Linked DNA regions of Sus scrofa. The protein of the gene in region 2 interacts with the protein of the main gene of each other region in a pairwise test. Links are inferred from orthologs where the notes say so. Each region holds a gene or a part of one and is shown on either strand. Other genes may lie near its edges. The genes, in order: KHK and LHX9.

Region 1 (4,540 bases), on a different chromosome or scaffold from region 2:
ACCCCGCTCCGCCCCTCACCCACTCCCCTCACCATGTCTCAGAGCCCACACACCCAGGGCCGAGGCGTCCCTCTCCCCACCCTGCGGGCCAGCCTCCCCTGCTCCCTCCACTCACTCGGCAACGTGGCCCGGGGCCAGCGAGCCCATGAAGGCACAGGGGGCTCCGAGCAGGGAGAGAACCGTGCAGGAGTTGGAAGCGTTGCCTCCACGCTGCCACCTCTGCGACAAACACCTGCAACACACAAGCAGGGTCCCGGCAGCTCCAGCAGGCTGGTGCCGGGACAAGAAGGGCTGAGCCTGGGTAGGGCCTGCAGAAGGTAGGAACCGGGAGCTCCCCATCGGCAAGCACCCAGACCGGCCTTCTCACTTCTAGATGGACAGCTAAGGCTCCGTGCAGGGAAGGGTCGTGGCTGAGGACCCAGCGCAGGCTAAATGCAAGTTCACGGTGATTAATTTCTATCTTCCACCTGTTCCTAGGACCTCAGGAAAGCACTCGCTCAGGGCCACTAGGATTCGAGGGCTCCGCTGACTCTGGGTTACCCCTCCTCAGCCACAGTGACCCGCCTCCCCCGGGCAAGCCTCCTCATGCAGAGAAAAGACGAGAAGCTTCGAGGGCCTGCACCTGCTCAAGGTCACACCAACAGTGAATGACAGAGCCGACACCAGAACCCAGGTCTCCTGACCCCCAAAGCCCTGCATGCGCTGCGTGTCTCTGAATATGGCAAGTTGTTGGGTCCCAGCGTGGATGAGGTTTCAGTGAAAGGGTTTACAGCTTTACTCTGTGGAAACCCTTCGAAGTCATACTGACACCCAACTTCCATGCTCAGGGGTCTGGCCGTGTGCCATGCAGCAGCTCCTGTGAGGCTGCAGCCGCCTATGGAGACAGCCTGGGTCAGGTGCGGCTGAGATGCTGGGAGCGGCTGGGTCCGCACTCAGTTTGCTCATCTAGGAGGCATGGCAGAGGCCAGGAGCTGGGCCGGGTGGGACTGGAGCACAGGGGACAGGCCCTGTGGACAGCCAGCCTGCTCGGCAGAGGAGCAAGCCCTGGGTCTGGGGGAGGGGGTACCCTCGGAAGGGCAGGGCGTGTGGAGGACTTGGGAAGGGGCTCCTTCGAGAGGTGTCAATCACTTAAGCGCCCACATTCTGAAGAGCCCCCATCAGGGTGGGACCAGCAAGGTTCTGGTCTCCCGACAGAGCAGCTCAGAGGAAAAGGGAGTCGGCTCTCATGGACGGTGGCACCCTGTGGCCTCCCGGGGCCCTCTGCCATTCTCGAGGAGCCTGTGGTCCCAGAATCCGCGCAGAGAACAGACCTCACACCTCACTGTGCGCCAAGTCCTGGGGCTGGCTTGACCTTGGCAGGAGGGCTAGGTCCACCCAGCAGCACACCCGGGTGCCCTGCACCCCTGGCAAAGCAAGCAGCCCAAAGCAGAGGGTCAAGTCCATCAGACGGGCAGCAGCAAAGGAACGGGGAGCTCAAGAGATGACAGAGGCTCAGAGGTAGGACGCCTGAGGTGTCACCACTGCTCTGCCACTCATTAACTCTATGGCCTCACAGAAATCTAATTTCTCCAAATCTCTGGCTTCCTCATCCGAAAAAGAGAGGAGGAGGCAACTGGTCCTTAGCCACTTCCCATGGGCTGCTGTGCGGCAAGTGTGTGACTGTGCCTGTGCTGTGTGCACCCAATGCCTGAAAAATGCGGGGGCCTCAAGGCCGCCAGCGCTGCAGTGTCTTGCCTGAGCTCAGCCTTGAACTAGGCTTTTATCCAGTTCTTAGGCTGAGACAATTGAGAGCCAGGAAGCAAGTTTTCTCTGTGTTCTAAGCACTAGACTGCACCCAGAGACAGCCACGGATTCTGCTGCACAGAAGTGGTCTTGGGATTAGAGTGTTAACGGTTTGGTTCTTATCAAGAGTAAATATAGGAACCAACACATGACTCTTCAACTTCTACCAGACAACCGAGTGGGATGGTGTCCACTATGTTGTTACTGACTGCTGTCAAAAGGATTTCTGGGAAACTTCTGGAATTCAGCACCAGGGAGAAGTCTCATGAGCCAGCTCTACCCACAACTCACAGCATCTCCAAATGTGCCTGCACAGCCAGCAAGCTCTGAGCTACAGTGAAGCTCAAACATCATGGTTTCAAATGCTCTTGAACAGTCTAACTGCATATCTTCTTGGAAGTGACCTCGATTTTCTTTTTTTTTTTTTAAAGAAACAGATGAGCTCTCTATGTGGTAAATATATTAGAAGTCAGTGCCGGTGAGAGGCGGGCATATAGGTCTTGCTATTAAAAAGGAAAAAACTGGAGTTCCGGTCGTGGCTCATCCTCATGGAAACTAGTACAGCTGAGCCACAACCGGCACATCCCTGGCCTCCCTCGGTGGGTTAAGGATCCGACGTTGCCATGAGCTGCGGTGTGGGTCTCAGACGCAGCTCGGATCCAGCATTGTTATGGCTGTGCTGTAAGGCCACCCCTAGCCTGGGAACTTCCATATGCCGCAGGTAAGGCCCTAAAAAAGACCAAAAAAAAAGGAAAACACAAAGAAACTGGCCCTGCATGCACCTTCTTAGCTGCTTGCCCTCGCATAAGTCACTGCGACTCTCGGGGTCTCTATTTGCTTACTCGGTAAAATGAGGACAATGATGTCTGACCCGGTCCCAGGGTGGAAATGGGAACCGGCGAACACAATGCACTCAAGGCCACAGGCAGAGGGCACGGGGCCCCGGCTCCGCAGCCCCGTATTCTTGGTCGCCGGGCACAAGGCGGCGGCGGCAGCGGTCCCTGAGGTTTCCGAGAGGCCCGGGCATCCCTACCTGCTGTCCGTGTCCTCCTCCGGGTACTTGTCCACCACATTGATGATGTCCAGCACCACTAGCCCCACGCACAGGATCTGCTTCTCTTCCATGAGGCCGCTCCCGGAGCTTTCTCGGCTGGCCCGGCTGACGGGCTTCCTCCCGGGCTCGGCCTCTTATCTTGGAGGATCGTGTCCCGCTCGCAGGGGCTGTCCTGGCTCCTCCTCCGCGTCCTGAGCTCCTCCTCCAGGGAGTCTCCTCCGGCGGCGAGGGGTGCAGTGGGGTGCAGGGGACGGAGCCGGGCTCCTGCCCCCCACACCCACCGACCCCAGCGGGCCTGGGAGCGCAGACCCCGAGGTCTTGGTCCCCGGCTTTCGCTCAGCAGGCTGCGCGGCCCAGGAGATGGCTCCGCTTCCCACTTCTCGCCCTCAGTTTCCTCATTTGTCCGACGGACTCCGACTACCGCAAATCTCTCTAAAGCGCGGCTGGGCACCCTCTTGAATGCCAAGACAAAGTGGCAGCAGAAAGGCATCCCTTGCCCTGCCTCCCAGCACCTAGACGGGCGGCGTGAAGCAGGGCCTCGCAGCTACGGCCCGAGCCGGGCATCCCGAGCCGCCGCGGCTTGCGCTGTCCCGGCAGCCCCGCCCCCGAGCCTCGGCCAATCCCAGCGCGAGTCTAGCCTCCGTGGTGGAGCAGCGAGGGCCCGCGAGGTGAGCGGCGGCGGTCACGTGACGGCAGGCCCGCCTAGCGGCGCCGCGGTCCCGGCTTCCAGCGCCCTCTGGCGGACGCCCGCAGCAAGGGCGCGACCAGGAGGCAGGCCCCGCTGCGGCTCCAAGGGGGCGGGAGCCCTTCTGGCCCGCGCGTCCGGAGCAAGGGCTGGCAGAGCCACCCAGGCAGAGCGCAGAGCTCAAGCGGGGTCCGGGGTCCCAGGCTCTCTCGCCCCGTCCCCTGTGTACGCCTGTCTACGCTTGAACACACGCTGGAGTAAACGGCCTTTTTTTGTTGTATTTTGTTTTTTTTAGAAAAACCAAATGTCTTTATTCCTGAATAGTTTAGTATGGCGGTGGGGTCCCGAGGCCCCTCGAGAGAGAGCCCTGGAGCCCAGGGACTCGGTCTAGAGGCCAGCTGGGGGAGCAAAGGGTGCGAGGATTGGCTCCTCCGCAGTCCGGGTCTTGCAGGGGACGGCGATCAGTCCGAAAGTCTGAACGAGGGAACCCGAGTCCCCGACCCGGCGCGCTCCGACCGTGGGAAGGAGGCTGCTCCGGGCGCCTGTGCCGCGGCGGGTACGGAAACGGCGGCTCGCCCGGAGTCAGCGCCCAGTCCCAGGCGAGACCCGGCGAGCCCGCCGCCCCCGCTGGCTCTTTGGCGGGCGGTAGCCGGCGGCCCAGCCCCCTGTCTACACCTGTTACAGCTCCTGGTCCTCGTAGAGCAGGGCTCCGCTGAAGATGGTGAGCGGCTCCTCCGAGTGCGCCAGCTGCCCCATGACCAGGTCGATGCAGACCGTATCCCCGGCCTGCAGCGGCAGGATAAGGCTGAAGACGCCTAGGGCGCCCGGGCTGGGCTGGCTCTCGGCCACCGGCTTATTCTCCAGGCCCTCAGGCTCGTAGCCACCGGAGTCTATGCGGGCCACACCCAGGTTGGAGCGCGACAGCACGGCCTCCACTTTCTCGTGCCGATGCCCAGTCAGCACCGCACTCAGCAAGTAGCGTCCAGCCAGAGGGGCGGTGAACACGCCTGGGGACAACG
Region 2 (3,023 bases):
TTTCCGAAAGATTTACTAAGATAACTCCAAGGGAAAACTCTTCCCACCCCGGTTAGCTCTATGTTAGCTGACCATAGCTAAAACCCCTCTAAAAAATACCCTTCTGGTTACGTAAGACCCCTGCCAGTTTTTATTTTGTAACTTCTCCCTCTTCTCCAGCCACTTTTAAACTTTTTTTTTTTTTCTCTAATGGAAAAGATTCTAGGATTAGGAGAAAAGGCTATAGATTGGAACTTAGAGTCTTCCTTTATGGGGAAGGGCTGTCTCCAAAATTTTTGGTTTGAGAGAGCTGAAGTTCCTTGTTTGTACACCCTTCGTGACAAAGAGCAATATCCCCAGAGAGTACATCTCATTTCCCAGATACAGACAAAACGTGGTCTCTGAAAACAGAGTGTATTAGAAAAGGGGTTTTTCTCCTTTTCACTCTTGGAGAAGATTTCTTTCACTCCCACACTTACAGGTTTTCTAGCAACCATTGAGCCAAAGAGGGGATTTATCTAATGCTTCTCTACTCTGTAAACTTTGGTTGCGTCCACACTAACGGACTAGTTTGGCGGACTTTGGCAATTAACCTCTTTCTTTTGTCTGGATCGCGCTCCTAATTGGGGCGACAGCCTTTTCCACTGTTGCTGTTGGGTCATGACACGATCGCGCCACCTGCCATCTTTTCAGCTAATGCAGGACTTGCCACTGAGCCCTTGTTTGTCCACTGTGACTGCCACAGGTTGTAACGAGAATGAGGCCGACCACCTGGACCGGGATCAGCAGCCATACCCCCCCTCGCAGAAGACCAAGCGCATGCGCACTTCCTTCAAGCACCACCAGCTCCGGACCATGAAATCCTACTTCGCCATCAACCACAACCCGGACGCCAAGGACCTCAAGCAGCTTGCTCAGAAAACAGGCCTGACCAAAAGAGTTTTGCAGGTAAGAAACCTCCATCGTTGGCTGTGCCTTTCCCTTGCGGTAAAAAGAGTTCTCTTCCCTGTGTGGAGTGATAACAGGTATTTCCTGAACTGCTTCTATTCTATTAGTTTATCTTAGTTGCTTCCCTGGAGAGTGTACTGAGCCCTTGTAGGGGCTTGGGTGAGAGTACCCAAGGAGAGACCCAGAGCCTTTGAAAACGCAGCCGCATTCTCCCTACAGATGGAGAGACGGGTCCACCAAAGCCAGCTCAGCTGGCTTCACAGCTCTGCAATTGCGGGTGATGTTATCTGCAGGAGCTGTGGCTTTGGGGACGTTCGTTCACCCTAGGTTCAGTGCACAGACTGGGTGGTGGCGGGGACCTGCTGGTGTTGTCTCACACTCTCTGCAGCCTCACTACATGCAATGAGCTTCCAAGTTCAAGTCTCCCCATTTTGTCAGCTCCTGAAAAGCCACAAATATGGTTAGTGTCTCGACAACCAGCTGGAGCGAATAGTTTCCCATTTTAACAATCCATATTTACACAACTACATACTGAGAGTGAGATCTGCTGTCCAGTTGCTTTCCTAAACTCATCATGGAAAAAACATATAACTGATGACACGATAGGGGGTTGCTGTGGGTCCCCTGTGATCCTCGTACACTTCTCAGTGACAAATACCAGGCATTTTTAATGCCACCCAATTTCCGGTTGCTTGGAGTCTGTGGCCTGGAGGTTTTTCCTTGGCAGGGATTCCTTGCCCTGTGTCAGACTCAAGAGTAGCCTGAAATGTGTTTCAAGGATGTTCATTTCATGCGAGTGATTCTTACTTTGTGAACCATTCCACGAGCTTGCCCTTCCTCATTCTCAAGACAACAGTTGAGGAACCAGCCTGTCTTTCCCCAACTCTTTATCCCTGTGCCTTCTTTTTTTCCCCATAGTATCTCCACTTAAGCATCTGCTGCCCCAGGGGGCACTTGTTAATGAAGGGGGGGCACACCTGCTGTGGAGAGGATATTTCTAGTCGTCCCGGAATCACTCAGTTTTAAACGAAAGCCAAAAAAAAAAAAAGCCACTTTCTCCCAAGAAAAACAATTATATATATTAAAAAAATCCAAAAAAAGAAAAAAAAAAAAAAAAAAAAAAAAAAAAAGGAAAGAGAAAAGAAGTATAAAACTAAACATCGGTAAAGAAATCCATTGGGATTGGTTTGCAGGTTTGGTTCCAAAACGCACGAGCCAAATTCAGAAGGAACCTTTTGCGGCAGGAGAATGGGGGTGTTGATAAAGCTGATGGCACGTCGCTTCCGGCCCCGCCCTCAGCAGACAGCGGCGCTCTCAGTCCACTCGGCACTGCGACCACTTTAACAGACCTGACCAATCCCACTGTCACTGTAGTGACAGCCGTGACCTCTCACATGGACAGCCACGAATCCGGAAGCCCCTCACAAACTACCTTAACGAACCTTTTCTAACATTGTTTTTTTTTTTTAATGCTTCCTCTTCTTTTTATTATTATTCTAATTATTATTTTATTATCTCCAAGACTATTTTTTTTTTTTCTAACCCGCAAGCTATTTGGGAAATAGAAACAACAGCTCGGTGTGTAGCTTCTGCAGCCACTTGGCAAATGAGTTTATTATAGTACTGTCTCCTTTACAAAGTGTATTTTTTTTTTTTTTTGTCTACAAAGTGTATTTGAATTTTTCAGAAAAAATTAATTAGATCTTTCAGTCGGTAAGGGGAGTTTTGGAATCATTCTAATAAGTGCCTCTTAAAATTGTATGTTACTTATTTCCAGAATCTCAAAGAAAAAAAAAAAAAAGAGTGGTATTATGATGGGTAAATAATCATATTCCCAGTTAAATCATGAGGTTGTTAAAGAATCAGATATTTAATTAAAATTATTATTTTAATATTGCAATTGTATGTGTATTTACAGAATTTTGAAAAGTTCACATTGTTTTTTTAAATTTTAAAACCAAAAAAATATTTTGATGATTCCTTTTTCTTACAAATGAGGAATATGATTTAACAAAAACATTACAGCAAATCTAAATATTAAAGATTAATTAGGTGGAAAATGTATTTGAGGAATTTGACTTTTTTCTCTTAGGGAT

Evidence for each region.
Region 1: the proteins of LHX9 (region 2) and KHK interact in binary tests that used the Homo sapiens proteins (3 or more experiments, as listed by UniProt). The two-hybrid records come from large-scale screens. The link is inferred for Sus scrofa from reciprocal best matches to the Homo sapiens genes LHX9 and KHK.

The regions. Positions count from the first base shown.
Region 1 is NC_010445.4:112,028,131-112,032,670, forward strand, and holds the start of KHK (ketohexokinase), read right to left. Parts: upstream 3,004-4,540; 5' UTR 2,908-3,003; coding exon of another isoform or gene 2,856-2,907; coding exon 2,816-2,855; intron 271-2,815; coding exon 116-270; intron 1-115. Other genes in the region: EMILIN1 (EMILIN-1), read right to left, coding at 4,200-4,528. UniProt on the Homo sapiens protein: Catalyzes the phosphorylation of the ketose sugar fructose to fructose-1-phosphate.
Region 2 is NC_010452.4:20,757,505-20,760,527, forward strand, and holds part of LHX9 (LIM/homeobox protein Lhx9), read left to right. Parts: intron 1-724; coding exon 725-927; intron 928-2,120; coding exon 2,121-2,378; 3' UTR 2,379-3,023. UniProt on the Homo sapiens protein: Involved in gonadal development.